2 linked regions of the Schizosaccharomyces pombe genome follow. The gene in region 1 interacts genetically with each later gene. Each region holds a gene or a part of one and is shown in the gene's direction. Other genes may lie near its edges. The genes, in order: erf4 and bcp1.

What was found.
Region 2: mutations in erf4 (region 1) and bcp1 together harm fitness less than expected from each alone (positive genetic interaction), as found in Schizosaccharomyces pombe (one large-scale study listed by BioGRID).

Annotation. Positions count from the first base shown.
Region 1 is NC_003424.3:2,828,006-2,831,167, reverse strand, and holds erf4 (palmitoyltransferase complex subunit Erf4), read left to right. Parts: upstream 1-1,983; coding exon 1,984-2,502; downstream 2,503-3,162. Other genes in the region: spd2 (ribonucleotide reductase (RNR) inhibitor family), read right to left, coding at 1-176, 362-369, 569-651; rit1 (initiator methionine tRNA 2'-O-ribosyl phosphate transferase), read left to right, coding at 2,481-2,539, 2,819-3,162. UniProt on the Schizosaccharomyces pombe protein: The erf2-erf4 complex is a palmitoyltransferase with a major role in driving sexual development. Palmitoylates ras1. Palmitoylates isp3. Palmitoylates rho3.
Region 2 is NC_003423.3:283,103-286,879, reverse strand, and holds bcp1 (thioredoxin peroxidase), read left to right. Parts: upstream 1-2,063; 5' UTR 2,064-2,354; coding exon 2,355-2,942; 3' UTR 2,943-3,277; downstream 3,278-3,777. Other genes in the region: SPOM_SPBC1773.03C (aminotransferase), read left to right, coding at 1-841; csc3 (WD repeat-containing protein), read right to left, coding at 3,332-3,777. UniProt on the Schizosaccharomyces pombe protein: Thiol-specific peroxidase that catalyzes the reduction of hydrogen peroxide and organic hydroperoxides to water and alcohols, respectively.

The DNA of each region.
Region 1 (3,162 bases):
GATTTCTTGAGTGGAGGCGGTATCCCAGAAAATAGAATCAGCAGCCAATTCTTGCTTCAAATCATCGAGACGAAGATTAGGATCATGTTTTTGCTGAGGAAGCTCATTTCTATCAGTTTGATCCTTGTGGTAAGAAGGGAAAAGTTGTTGGTCAAATTTGTAACCAGTTTGAACAGCTGCTAAAGTTAGTAAAAACTGCTTTCATCTAAACAGGAAAAAAGGTAGAAAGGAAGTAGTTTCTATAAAAACAGTTTTCCATTAAAAGTATAAACATGAAGAAAGAGTGCTTTATAGAAATTTTTGATTAAGGTATTAATAAACAAATCCACTCATTTTTTTTTTTTAAATTTGATTCACGTACCTTTGCGACTAAATGATTGTTAGTTATTATACAAAAAGACTAAAAAAGAGTTAAATCATCAAATGCCGTGCTGCAGTACAATTGTATTATAAGTTTTCAAAAAAGTACTTAGACCTTTAAGCCCTGTCTCTTACAAAAAAAGATAGCAGAACAATCAGCATTTTGGATAATTCAACGTTTAAAAGTAAAAAATTGGATTAAACTTACACTCTGGCTCCAACATCAAAAAGAGTAGTTTGAACTAGCTGGGGAAGTTCGTCATGATCGGGAAGCTTGAACGTTTCAGACATCCTGGATAAGTAAAACAATTAAAAAGTATCAAACAGGGGGAAATTGACAAAGTATAGTTAAATATAGGTAAAGACGGAGTGGTGAATCACAAATGCTAGCAATTACCAATCGCAGAGCAATCTTTTAATTTTCAATGATTAGGTGGTAGATGGTAAGTAGTTTGGGGTTGCGATTGTAGATCATACGAATTTTCTGTGACTCGAGACAGGTAACACTTTTTCTATTGTTTACCTATGGAAAAAAAAAACAAAACAGTGTAATGCGATACATATTTCCTTTAAACAGTTATGTTATGGGTATCATGAGAAACTAAATTTTCATCTTCGTAAAGGAGGGTTCTTTTTTAATCGTCTTTCTTGGAATTTCTTCAAATCATGAATTCAACTTGCATAAATGGATAAGAAAAGTTGGTTGTAAGAATCTATAGATATATATTTAGCATGTTTCTTTTATTTAAACGAATATTCCTTTTAGAAGCGAGTAAGCTTCAAGTCGTATAGAACGCAGACGATATTAAGCCTAATAGGATCTTTAACGCTTAACTTAATAGCAAGCACAATGAGTTTTAGATAGCTGAGTACTTTAAAGCAACCTAACTTCCCTTGCAGCTAAAAAAGTTTATTGAACTTGATTTAAGACGCTCTTCTTGGACTGAGCAAGGACTTCAAAAAAGCCCGCATTCGTTGTCAAAGTTTTATCTCATCTAACGACTAAAGTAATATGAGTCAATGCTCATATAATATACAGTCGAATATTTTTTATATTTTATTACATTTATTTTCCCAAGTAGTTTTTCCAGTTCATTCTAAGTAACTTTTATCGTAGATGAAATATATCCTGTAGAGAGCTTTTATCCTCTTCCTGAACGAGCAATACGTTTTATTAATTTTCAATTCCTCAACAACTAAAACCACATCCTTTTATCAATCTTAATTTTCACTATAAATCCGTTCAAATTACCTAGTGACAAACTGTGTGGTTTTTGTTTCAAATCTGAAACTCACTCAATTAATCATAATGATTTTTTAAAATGAGTTATCATTGCCCATTTTACAGCTATTCACTCAATTAATCACTCAATTCTGACATTTAATACGTTTGTTTGTTTAGTTCCGGTTATATGATCAATCGATGAACTCATGAGTGTTTTATAATTTTTTAGTCATTTTTAACGTTGTTTAACTTATAACTTTCCTGTTTATTTATTTTTTTTCTTGTGCTCTACCGAATCCCAGTTTCATTATACATATTCTCTAATCCGTCTTCTAATATTGTACACTTGAACCTAGAGCTAGGGAATCCACCAAGCTTCATTTCAGTAGGTTTTTTCGATGCTTGTTCGCATTGAAAGGGATTATTCGGTTTCAGGAGATAAATATCCTCAATTTCCAACCGATTATCCTGTACCTCTTCGAGCTTATGTGAATCTTGAGGATTGGGATGTATTCATTCACACATTAAACGAGAAACTGAGAGAAGCCTTCTGTCCATGGTCAATTGGAAATCTATTAGATGGAATTCTATCTGTTTTAACGATTTATATCTCGGAGTTCGTATTTGGCAGTATTCATCGTAAAAGAATTGGGGCGATCGATTTGTACATCCTGGACTTTGCAACCCAACATAATTTATACGTTGCCAGCCTTCGCAATATGGGGTTTTTGAGTCTCGTTTTTCATACAAAAGAAACAAATTCGAAAAGTAGTACTCTCCATTCCAATCCGTACTGCCCGGAGCACCATTCTATACGAACACTTCCCTCTGCCGTGACTGCCACCACTTCAAATATCTCAACTTCTAGTTCTCACAGAAGTGATCTGCCAAACGAATGGACGAATTCGACCCTTTAGACGCTGTGCAACAAATTCATGTTCAAGCAAGACACCCGTAAGTCTCAATTTGCTATACAAATAAGCTGGCAGAATCAAAAGACTTAGAAAATGATTGCTACCTTTATAAACGCACAAGCAATTAATGCAAATTGTAAGAAAAAACGATGGATAGCTGCTATTAAATTTTCATGAAAAATTTTTAGCCTAATCGCCATTTGTTGGATTTCGTACTGATATATATTTTTGCTGATTTTTACTTGTTTTTCCTTTTTGCCTTGCTTTTCTTTTATTTGTATGTCATCGAATGGAAAATTTGGCTAACACTAATTTCAAGAAAGAATCGGTTGCTGTCAATTGCACACGATGCCAAGTTTGTCGACTCAGTTATAGCTTCGTACCCCACATTTAAACCTGTTGTAAATGAACGATGCGGTACGTGGTATGTCAACCGACGACATGCTCCGATTTCTGTTTATTTCAAAAGTACTGATGGTCATACCGGGCAATGGTCTTTTAGCTGTCGTCGTCTCAATTTGCATTTGCTAAATGAGATAACCACTTGTGATGGATTGATTATAGTAGATTCTACTCGTCGTGGAAAGAGAATGCCCGATGCTCTATCAAAGACGATTCCGATATGGATTGCTACGCTCAATAAATGTGTTTTCGAACGGCTTC
Region 2 (3,777 bases), on another chromosome or scaffold:
TTGTTTTGAATACAGGTATAAGGAAAACGGAGAGACAACCGAAGAATATGTTGCTCGATTAGCTAAAGAGCTTGAGGATGAAATTCTTCGCGTTGGTCCTGAAAAGGTGGCAGCGTTTGTGGCGGAGACAGTATCCGGTGCTTGCACAGGTTGTGCTACCCCTGTCCCTGGCTATTTCAAAGCAATGAGAAAGGTTTGTGACAAGTACGGAGTGATCTTTTACCTCGACGAGGTTATGTCGGGTATTGGCCGTACGGGAACAATGCATGCATGGGAGCAAGAGGGTGTGACACCTGACATTCAATCTATTGCCAAATGTTTAGGAGGTGGTTATCAACCCATTTCTGGAGCGCTTGTTGGTCATCGTATTATGAACGTGTTTGAGCAAAAAGATGCTGCCATGGCTGGTTTTTTTACATATCAAGCCCACCCAATTGCTTGTTCTGCTGCCCTGGCGGTGCAAACTATTTTAAGACGAGATCATCTTGTTGAAAGGGCAGCAGAAATGGGTAAATACCTTTCGGAAAAATTACATGAGACTTTTGACTCTCATCCCAACGTGGGAAATATTCGAGGCCGCGGTTTGTTTTGGGGACTCGAGATCGTTAAAGACAAAGCTACCAAGGAATGTTTCCCTCCTGAATACAAAGTTGGTTCTCTCGCCAACAAAATAGGTTGCGAGCATGGTGTTTTCGTTTATCCAGGCATGGGTACAATTGATGGCACCAGAGGAGACCACGTATTGCTGGCTCCTCCGTATATTATCACTCGCGAGCAAATAGATGAACTAGTGGAGGCTCTTAGCAAAACCATTACATCTACAGTTGCGGCCCTTCCTTGAATGTACGCAAGTTAACGAAATTCCTCTTTATCAGTTATAATGTTTCAGATAATTTGGATATACTTATGTTAGAAGACCTTTGGTCATGGTATAATAATTAATTTTATATGAAATGAATTTACAATGCATTAATATACTTTCTCCGCTACGACCCTTCGTTGTAATAAAATTGATAATTCCATACGGCTATAGGGTAGACGATGGCTCGCAATCATTTGAAAACATGTTCTCTGCGTAAACGCGTTTCTATATAGTTTGAATCAACAAACGTAAAAAACAAAAAAAAACTTGGACAAGCCAGAACTCGAATCTGGGACCTCTTCCATGCTAAGGAAGCGTGATAACCATCTACACCACATGCCCATTTTATTATACATTACACATTTATAGTATATTACAAGCATAGTAGGCAGTATACCATAATTTCAACTATTTAATGTATAATAAATAGACACATTATTAGCCAAACAGTTTGGATTGTTTTTGGGTTATTTTCATAATGTAGAACCAGTTGCTAATACTTCGATACAAGTTTAATTTTAAAGTAATATATGTCTATTATTTTACCTCTTCATCCAAGCATCGATGGTGTAGCGGTAACATCAATGCCTTCCAAGCATTAGCTCCGGGTTCGACTCCCGGTCGATGCAATGTTTTTAGCCTTTTTATAAAAAAAATGCAATGTTAGTTTAATAAAGACGATAGCCTCGCTTGCTAACATCATGTTTTATAGTCTTGGCTTACTTCCTTAGAATCTTTACTACGATTGCTACATTGACATTGCATGCAAATCAGTTCCTAGCTGATGGATCCGTTCTACAATTGACGAACAAAAGATATTTGAAATTTGTTAATAAATTAATTGTTATTTTATTTATATTTCTGTAACGCTGTCGAGACGGACAATCAGAGAAAATGCTGTTACAGTTTACGAAAGACCATTTTTTAAAGCCATACTAGTAAAAACGACACCATGTTAATAATGATTTGACTAGAAATTTTATGAAAGAAAACATTCTTTAGTCATAGTAGGATGCAAAGCTATTCCGATTGTATAAGCAGGGGAAGATCGGTTCCCTATCGATCGTTTGAAAGGTCAGCTAAATACGCTAAATACGATTTTACGGGATCACATTGGTAATGTTGTAAAGTAATATCAAAGCGAAGCTAACAAATTGGTAATATTTATGTCGTGATTCTTCACTACCTGTACTTTCTTCCTACACCAGAAAGAAAATCTCAGGTGTTATTGTAAAATTGTTTTTATTTTGGTACCGAAATTCTGAAAGTTGAGTAGTAAAAAGTTCAGAGTACTTCATCCTGAACAGAGTTTCACTACTTTGATCATTTTATCTAGCCTTTACAAGTTAAAGCGATTTAATACTGATCAGCATTGACACCAACGTTTTTGGTTTTACAGGTGTTGTTTAGAATATAAATTTATATACTGCAGCTCTGCATCAACCTTTCTCCTTCCCCTCTAGCATTTTTCTTGCACACTTTAAGCCTGTCAATGGACGCCCCCAGAAGATCTAGCAGATTGGCAGCCAAGATTGCAAACGTCTTGGATAGCAAAGGAACGATTATTCCTGAAGCTGCTCCAGTAATGCTGAAAAAGCCTGCAAAAGATGAATCAGTTGATTCAACTATTCAAGTGGGAGACGTAATTCCCGATATCACTTTGCCTGACGAAGATGGAACTTCCATTCGACTTCGCGATATTACTGCAAATAAAGGGCTTGTAATTTTTGCCTACCCAAAAGCTAGTACTCCTGGCTGCACGAAACAAGGTTGTGGTTTTCGTGATAACTATCCTAAGATACAGGCCTCTGATTATGAAGTTTTAGGGTTGTCTTTCGATACTAGCAAAGCTCAAAAAGCTTTCAAGGATAAGCAAAACTTTCCTTATCATTTGCTTTCGGATCCTAAAGGTGAGCTAATTAAAAAGTTAGGCGCTGAGAAGCCTGGTGGTGGAAAGCTGTTTAGAAGCCATTGGATCTTTGAGAAAGGTACTGGCAAATGCATAGTGAAGGAAATTGACATATCACCTCTTGTCAGTGTTGACAAAGCCTTTGCTGTAATCACTGATTCTGAACCTTAGTTGACAAATTGTCTACGCTCATTGTCAAATTTGGAGGATAGTCTACATGCCTATTGCTATATGATTCATGATGAAATTACACTTTTTTATGTCTTGCTACAATGTGCTTCAACCCTGAAGATACATTCAAATATGATCACTACACAATTTTATACAAGTTGATGGTCCAAGTTAGTGTTGTTCTTATTTTAGTAACGTTGAGATTAGATTAAATAGTTGCCGTATATCTAATACAAATATAGCTCCAGCAACGGTGTAGATTTTTGGTTCATTACGGTTAGAAATCGTAAATCATTATTTTTTAACAAATAACTCATTTTGATTAGAAAAGTTGGAAGTTTCATAAAAAGAGGGAAATCTTCCTGTATTCGTTTATCTTTGTTAGTGCTTTATGGTAAATATTTGCGGTCGTAAACAGAAATTCGCTCTTTACAGCCCACAATCAAATGCTCCAACTTATCGACGGGTGAGTTGATCCAAAGAATATCTGATAAATCAGTAATTTCCTCTTGAGCTTCTCTGCTAGGTAAGCTTTCGAGAGTTGAAAGTTTATCGTCCTGCCTCAAGAAAAAGACTCTTCCATCAGATGCACTAATCGCGAATTCCGGACGATTTACAGCAAACGCAATACCAGTCAAAGAGACTTTGCTAATCGATTTCTCTGCAAGCAATTCCTCACTCTTTACATCGAACACTCGCACCATGCCATTTTCATGCAGAGAATATAAGCGATCAGGGTTACCATTTTTCCATACGATCTTGTTGATCCTGTCTTTAACAGCCGGATTACCAATAGCAGAATTTCCAGCAATGCGCATTTGGCTTACAAGAATTT